2 linked regions of the Coturnix japonica genome follow. The protein of the gene in region 1 interacts with the protein of each later gene in a biochemical or structural test. Links are inferred from orthologs where the notes say so. Each region holds a gene or a part of one and is shown in the gene's direction. Other genes may lie near its edges.

Region 1 (4,557 bases):
TGACGGCACCGGGCCCAACATCCTGACTGACATCACCAAGGGAGTGCAGTACCTGAATGAGATCAAGGACAGCGTGGTGGCCGGCTTCCAGTGGGCGACCAAGGAGGTGGGGTGGTGTGAGTGAGTTAGTGCCTGTGTGGGTGTCAGCTTTGGAGCTGCTGCTCAGGCTGCCAGATGGGCTCAGTGCTGCCTGCAGCCGTGACTCAGAGGTGGGAGGAGCAGGATGAATGCTGCCTGGCCTGGTGCTGCCTCTCAACCTTCTTTTGCTCTCCAGGGTGTGCTGTGCGAGGAGAACATGCGTGGTGTCCGCTTCGATGTGCACGACGTGACCCTGCACGCTGACGCCATCCACCGTGGGGGTGGGCAGATCATCCCCACTGCCAGGAGGTGCCTCTATGCCTGTGTGCTCACGGCTCAGCCCAGGCTCATGGAGCCCATCTACCTTGTGGAAATCCAGGTAAGGAAAATCCAAGGAAATCCAAGGAAAGTGGAGTTGTGTTGTTTGCAGCCCCTGACCCCTCTGTCCCACAGTGCCCGGAGCAGGTGGTTGGTGGCATCTATGGCGTGCTGAACAGGAAGCGTGGGCACGTCTTTGAGGAATCCCAAGTGGCTGGAACCCCCATGTTTGTGGTCAAGGCCTTCCTGCCTGTCAACGAGTCCTTTGGTAAGTGTGTGCTGCCAGGAGCCCCATCACATCCCTGTGCTGTAAGGCCTGGAGCTGCCCTGGGGGGTGGGCTGTACATGGGGGTGCAGCTGTGGAGGGGGGGCTGCAGGACCCCGAGGGGCTGAGGCTCAGGGGGAGGCAGCTGGAGCTGTCAGACCCCGCATCCATCCCACTCAGCTCTGCTCTTCCCTCCAGGTTTCACAGCCGACCTGAGGTCCAACACTGGAGGCCAGGCCTTCCCGCAGTGTGTGTTTGACCACTGGCAGATCCTGCCCGGGGATCCCTTCGACAGCACCAGCCGCCCCTTCCAGGTGGTGGCCGAGACCCGCAAACGTAAGGGGCTGAAGGAGGGGATCCCGGCCCTGGATAACTTCCTGGACAAGCTGTAATCACCACCATCCCCATGTGCTGTCACTGCTGTGGGACTCAGCCTAAACACCATCCCAGCAGGCTCAAAGCGCAGTGACAGCTCTTTGCATTGTACTTAATCAGTTTCGTAGCGATTGGAGACTTATAACAAGAAAAAAAACCCCCACAAAACTGAACCGAACCAACCGAGCGCATTGATCCAGCCTTGGAGCTCTGTGTGTTGCACATCGTGGCCCATTGGGTGCCATTGTAACAATGAAAAGCGTTTCCACTCTGCTTCCATATTTATTTGACTTGAGGAATCTCTGCTTTATTGGGCTGGGGGAGAAGCTGAGGGCGGTGGGGGCTGCTCCCCCTTTATCTATGGGGGGGTTTAATGGAGCCCAATGGGGCCGGGGGGGGTTTGAAGGCAGGGAGCTGTTGTGTGTCATCGTCATCATGAGCATCAACCCGTGTATTAGTGCCACTGGAAGTAATAAATTTGATATGGTGATGATATGGCTCCTCCAACGTCGTGTCTCCTGCCGGACCCATCGCAGTGGGGTGTAGGGGTTCGATCACTGCGGGATCGATGCGGTATTGATGCGGGATCGATGCGGGATCGATGCGGGGCCGCCGGGATTCGAACCCGCGTCCTCAGCTCCGCCGGGGCGAGGCAGGGCGGCCCGATCCACGCATTCCAACATGACGTCACCCCCGTGGAGCCAATGGCAGCGCGCGAGGGGCGGGACATCTGGGATCTCGCAGCCAATAGCGGAGGAGAATGGGCGGAGCCGGCGGCTGTGCTGGAATGCGGCGGTGCGGGCGGGGGCGGCCCAGGTGGGGGAGCGGAGCGGGCGGGGGGTGCGGGATCGGAGCGGGATAAAGGGGGGGAGTGAGGGATCGGAGCGGGAATGAGCGGCTGATACCGGCCTGTAGGTGCTGAGAGGAGCGGGGGGAGCTGCCGGGCCGCCGCCATGTCCACCTTCCGGCAGGAGAACGTGGAGGAGTTCTACGAGATGGGGGAAGAGCTGGGCAGGTGAGAGGGGCGGGGGTGGGGGGTGGGATGGGGGTCGGGATGGGGTCGGGGTGGGGTCGGGATGGGGGTCGGGATGGGTCGGGATGGGTCGGGCCGTGTGTCCCGCAGCGCTGCGGGGTCTCCCGGTGCCGCCCCGCATTGATTCGGGCACGGCGCAGCGCTGCGGGTCCTTATATGGGACCGGGAGAACCGAGAGGGGACGGACGTCAGAGCGGGGAGGGGCTGCGGGGCTGCGTCCTCATCCACGGTGCCGGGGGGGGGTGAGCGACCCCGACCCCGACCCCATGGCCGAGAGATGGGGACGGGGTTGGGGTCCCACCGTGCTGCTCACGCAGGGCTCTATGGGGGCAGCTCAGCCCCCATATCAGTCCCTCCCCAGTCCCACACTGCGGGGCTGCCATCTCTCCCTCCTCCCCCAGCGGCCAATTCGCCATCGTGAGGAAATGCCGGGAGAGGAAAACGGGTCTGGAATACGCGGCCAAATTCATTAAGAAGAGACGATTATCATCGAGCCGCCGTGGGGTGAGCAGGGAGGAGATCGAGAGGGAGGTGGACATCCTGCGGGAGATCCAGCACCCCAACATCATCACCCTGCACGACATCTTCGAGAACAAGACGGACGTGGTGCTGATCCTGGAGCTGGTGTCGGGGGGGGAACTATTCGACTTCCTGGCTGAGAAGGAATCGCTGACGGAGGAGGAGGCCACGCAGTTCCTGAAGCAGATCCTGGACGGGGTGCATTACCTGCACTCCAAACGCATCGCACACTTTGACTTGAAGGTGGGGGGTCTATGGGTGTGGGTGGGAGCTATAGGGGCTCATTGGGGTGGGCAGATGTTGGTCAGCTGGGAGGCTGTCGGCCTTTTTGGACGCTGAGATGCTTTGCAGGTTTGTGGTTGTTCATTCATCATCTCTTGGTCAACTTCCATTGACCAACTACCACTGGTCAACTGTTGGCCAACCATCGGTCAGCTGGGACACTGCTGGCCTTCATGGCTGCTGGGACACAAAGCGTATGGTCAACTCTTGGTCAACTCTTGGTCAACTCTTGGTCAACTCTTGGCCTTTGTTGCTCTTGGCTCTTTGGCCAACCATTGGCCAACTGTTGGTCAATCGTTGGTCAACTGTTGGCCAACTCTGTGTCTGCTGGGACAACATTGGCTTTGGTGGCTGCTGGGCCGCACTTTTGGCTCTTGGTCAACCATTGGTCAACCATTGGCCAACCTTTGGTCTGCCAATGGGTCACCACTGGCCTTTGTGGCCATAAGGGAACACCATGTCTCATGGTCAACCTACAGCCAGCCATTGGCCAACCAAGACCCCGTTGGCCTTCTTGGCCACACATTGTAGCTGCCATGGTGTGCTGCTGGCTTGTGGAACACCTCATGTTCAGCACTGGGGTGAAGCACTGATCATCCTCCCCCCCTACAGCCAGAGAACATCATGCTGCTGGACAAGAACGTGCCCAACCCCCGCATCAAACTCATCGACTTCGGGATCGCCCACAAGATTGAAGCTGGGAATGAGTTCAAGAACATATTTGGGACGCCGGAGTTTGTGGGTGAGGCACAGTTTTGAACAGGGGGGGCTCAGAAATGTTGGCCTCATCCTGCAGGGATACCCCCAGGGGGGGTTATCTCCATGTGGGGCAGAGCTGGGTGCCCCATGAGTGTCCATACACAGGAGATGGATGCATTTGTGGGGACAGATATTTGTGTTTTCCCCTCCAGAATGAGTTTGTTGTCTCTCTTTTTCCTTCCTAAAGCACCTGAAATTGTGAACTACGAGCCGCTGGGGCTGGAGGCCGACATGTGGTGAGTGAGCCCCGGTGGGGGGTCAGGATGTCCCCCTCTGTCCCCTCTGTGCCATGTGGGGGGGACGCTGTGGGGCTCTGACCTCCTCTTTTCCCTTCCAGGAGCATTGGGGTCATCACTTACATCCTGTGAGTAGAGGGGCCGGGGGTGTGGGGTGCTGCAGGGGGTGGGGATGTGGGGCTGAGCATCCCCCCCATTGCTGCAGGCTGAGCGGGGCCTCCCCCTTCCTGGGGGAAACGAAGCAGGAGACCCTCACCAACATCTCTGCCGTCAACTACGACTTCGATGAGGAATACTTCAGCAGCACCAGCGAGTTGGCCAAGGACTTCATCCGCCGGCTGCTGGTCAAGGACCCCAAGTGAGGGTTGGGGTGCGGGTGTTGGGGGCTGACGTGGGTCAGACTGTGCCCCATATGGGTGTGGGGCATCTGTGGGGTCACCTGTGGCTGTAGTGGGTGGAAGGGAAGGAATGGGGTTGTGAGGAAGTGGTGGGTTGAGGGCTGAGCTGCACAGCCTGGCAGCCCACGAGCAGGGCCCCTGATTTTATGCCCCTCTGATCCCACCCCCCAATCCTGTCCCCTCTCTTCCTGTTCCCCCCATAACCCCGTATCTCCAACTCCATCCTCCCCTGTCCTGCCTTGCTGTCATTGCAGGAAGCGGATGACCATAGCTCAGAGCCTGGAGCACCCCTGG
Region 2 (3,811 bases), on another chromosome or scaffold:
TAATACAGATTGTATCTTGAGACATTCTTGTGTGTGATTCCCCAAGGCAATGAAGTTAGTGAGTTCTCACCAACACAAAGCTGTGAAATGTGCTCTGCAATTTATTGTACTGACCTCTTAAGAGCTTTGGAAAGCACTTTGTTGCTCTACCTTTTCTATTTTGTTAAATCTGTAAATAAGTGTCTGCTTTGCTCTATGCCTTTTAGTACAGGTAATGCTCCAGAAGATGATGCTGTAAACAGGTATTCCCGAACGGAGAGGACAACTTACAGCAGATACAGCAGGGATGCAAACTCTTCTGGGAGTTCTGTACCAAGTAATGTTTTGGAAAAGAGGATTGAGGAACTTGAAAGGGTGAGTACCAAGTAACATCTGCATGGTATACATCTGAAATAAAGAACCTTTGAAACCCTGTGGGGAAATCAGAAATGAGTTAATATAAAAATGATGATTGATGCTTGAAGTGCAGCTGCTTGTGCCTAGAAATATATGTAAAGAATCAAGCAGACAGAAGGAATGTGAGCTTTCTAATCATCATAAATGTTTAGTTTTCATTTGGTGTGGATGTGCAGAATAGCTGAGGTAAAACTAAAGCAGTCAGAGAGCCACCTGTGCTGTGTGAATTTGTCCTGGGTACCTCATGACACACAAACACAGGGCAAATAACCCGGGGGGAGATGGGGCTCACTGGCTGTTCAGAAAATAAGCAATGTTCCATCTGATTTACTTCTTGTTTTGGATGTGCTGAAGTGTTATAAAACTTAATTATTACCTTGTTGTTCATTGAATTCTTCAGCACCTAAAATATATATTTCAAACAAAGTTTTCTTTATTCCAGCCATTTTTAGTACAAACATTTTTGAAAGAACATAGCAATGTTAAAGCTGTATTTTTCACTTAAAACTTATTTGGCTGAGTATGTCATCTGTGTACCTTATTATGAGCTTCTGTTTCTTCTTCTGTAGTGGACTTTTATGGGTAACTAGCCAAAGTTTTTTGAGTTTCTATGGAAAAAGTTATTATGGCCTGCCCTGCAGAAGTTGACTGAGTAAATGCAACTTGAATAAGCTTTTAGGTTTTTTTAAATGATGAAAATGGAAAATTTGCTGCTTTGTTGTTTTTTCTTCTAAAGAATTAAGGAAGCCAGATTTGAGTGAAATATGCTGTAATCTTCCAAATTCAAATCCTTTTTCTTCTAAGATAATTCGATTACAAATAACAGAAAATAGACGAAGATTTAAGGATCGCTTTTCAGAGTCTCAGTCTCTGATTTGGTGAATTTCTAATGGACATTTTCATTTTAATTTTCTTGAAGCCCACATATCTCATGAGATCTCTGTTCCCACATTAACTGGTGTCAAACAAAAAAGAAAGGAAATATATATATATATAAAATGTGGAAACCGAGACTTTACATTAACACATTTGTCTCTTAGACTCCCGCCCAATTTTGGACTGATGTGTAAGTGAGATATTAATTAAGCATCTCTAGAATAGGAGATATCACACAGGTTTGATGCGAGTAAAATATTTTCTTAGATGTGATTCATTAGCTCCTTGCAACGTAAAGGCTTGAAGGCTTTTGGGTTTGACTTGCTGTAGAAGCGGAATTACAGGTATGTGTGTGGTTTATGTATGTGTGTGTGTAGTGAGGGTGTGGTATTTGAATGGCAATAACATAAAACTCTGTCTTTAAAACAATTATATTTGACACCAGCATATTCTATTTTTAGGAACTTGCAAAGGAGAGACAGGAAAATGTAAGATTAATGAAGATCACACAGGACAAAGAGGAAGTAATTGGAAAACTGAAGGAAGAAATTGATTTATTGAACAGAGTAAGCACATACTCTCTTACCTGGTGCTTTATAAAGAGGGGATAAAATCCTCTGCATTCTCAGTGCTTTTCTTCAGGTTCTTGTAACCACTTGGCAGGGTCACAAGAAAATTAAGTGTTTTTAGGTTTTTCTGTTTTTGAAGCTGTGTAATTTTCAACAATCTTGTTAGTAAGTTATATTTTCCCAGGTGGCTTCTGTTTGTCGTAATTAACTTCCAGAACTTTTTAACTGTTGAGATACCTTCTTATTGCTGTTTTGTTGTTGCTGGTTTGTTGTACAGTGAGGTTACAAAAGCATGTGTTCCTTAAACAAAATGGCCCTGGTGAATCCAGCAGTAGAGGGAGGCAATAACTTCATGTGCATTGTGGTAGACTCTGATTTTGTGGCATTTGCTTAAAACAGTGGAGATCAACATACACAAAAGATAGCAAACTAATCTACAGGACTAAAGCAGCTGTCTGTTACTTCTTTTTATAAAGAAAGATGGAATGTATAGGACTAATGAAATATTGTCTGTTTTGGAGAGATTTGTTGACCAATTGAGGAATTGGTCTTCATGCCATTTTTACGTCTGACAAGGAATCTCTTACATCTAAGCTGACCACTTCAGTATTAATCAAGGAGTCTGTTCACTTCAATGTAATGGGTGGCAGAGCTACTTCATACTGCTGGTCATGTCTGATCTTTCTCAGAGATTAGAAAGCAGAAAACACAGAAGCACCCAAATCACTGCAGTCCTGTGCTTTAAGACCTGTTTTGACAGTTTCTAAGGCCTACTGACCCAGAAGCAATGATATTTTCTTTTCCTACTGTATTTGAAGGATAATGTCCTAAATTAAATCTATAATGTGTCTGATTAGAAATCACCTTTAAACATTCATAGTAAAGTCAAATAGGCCTCATGTACTGCCTGCATTTAGGTATGATGACAATTTCTGTTTGTTGTGTGAGAAAAAAAAAATCAAAACATAGTAATTCCAAAAACCTCTTTAGTACAGAACGACTAAAACTGCAATGTTCAATGAGAATTGTGTACATGGAACTCCCTAGACAGTCTCCATTAAATGTAGGAGATAATATATAGAGAGATTTTTCTCTGCCAGGGCTGCATTTATAATAGCTATAACATGATGTATTGGCTTTATTGCAGTGCAGCTATTAATGCTTGAGTCCCACAGGTTTTTCTTAACATTGAAATAGCTGCCTTTTGACTTTCAGACCATCTTAATAATTTGTTTTACAAAAATTGAAACCAGCACGTGTCAAGTGATACTTCCATTAAAGCAGATACAATTTCACTTTCTTTTTTATTAGCTTTTGGATTTTTGAATGCTCTTCTATTAGCAATCCATGTGAATTTAGAAAAGGGAAAGCTTTAGAATAGTAAAAAACCAAAAAAATTACAGAAGTATTACATCATTCCCATGACAGAAGGGCATGAAAGTTAATGTGGCAGTCATATTTGCCTAAGGCTTATGTTTGCAACTGCGATCATGAGAGCGAGCGCTTAAACACCCATCTGTTCTTCATAGAACGTGGCTCTGCAGACCTGGCATCAGGATTACATGCTTTACGTGGAGGATAAGAGAAGGTCTGATGACTTAGTGAGCTTATGCAGTGATCTTTTTAAAAGGTTTTGCTTGTAGAGAACCTAAATGGAAGTCTTGAAATTTGACCATCTATGCATTTGTGGTATTGCTCTGTCTTTCCTGTTAATCAAAAAATGCTGTTATTGCATGTTAGATTGCAGTGACGTGGAAAGAATTTCAGGTCAGATAGCCTAAATGCCATTTTATTGCCTGGCTTCCTGACTTCTCAGCCCTCACGTTTAGAGAAATGCTCTTTCTAGAAGTTTTGGTCAGCTTGTGACTACAGATGCATCCTTCATTGGCAGAGACCTTGTGTTACACCTAAAAACTATTTTTACAAGAATCCCAAAAGCTTGTTGGCAGACTTTCTTTTCTCCTTTTTAG

The links.
Region 2: of the proteins of DAPK3 (region 1) and PAWR, one has a biochemical effect on the other in vitro, tested with the Homo sapiens proteins (2 studies listed by BioGRID). The link is inferred for Coturnix japonica from reciprocal best matches to the Homo sapiens genes DAPK3 and PAWR.

The regions. Positions count from the first base shown.
Region 1 is NC_029543.1:799,331-803,887, forward strand, and holds the start of DAPK3 (death-associated protein kinase 3), read left to right. Parts: upstream 1-1,611; 5' UTR 1,612-1,626; coding exon 1,627-1,852; intron 1,853-1,951; coding exon 1,952-2,051; intron 2,052-2,470; coding exon 2,471-2,831; intron 2,832-3,482; coding exon 3,483-3,612; intron 3,613-3,816; coding exon 3,817-3,865; intron 3,866-3,966; coding exon 3,967-3,993; intron 3,994-4,070; coding exon 4,071-4,223; intron 4,224-4,517; coding exon 4,518-4,557. Other genes in the region: EEF2 (elongation factor 2), read left to right, coding at 1-106, 275-457, 532-664, 860-1,053. UniProt on the Homo sapiens protein: Serine/threonine kinase which is involved in the regulation of apoptosis, autophagy, transcription, translation and actin cytoskeleton reorganization. Involved in the regulation of smooth muscle contraction.
Region 2 is NC_029516.1:35,855,458-35,859,268, reverse strand, and holds part of PAWR (PRKC apoptosis WT1 regulator protein), read left to right. Parts: intron 1-206; coding exon 207-354; intron 355-1,733; coding exon 1,734-1,838; intron 1,839-3,811. UniProt on the Homo sapiens protein: Pro-apoptotic protein capable of selectively inducing apoptosis in cancer cells, sensitizing the cells to diverse apoptotic stimuli and causing regression of tumors in animal models.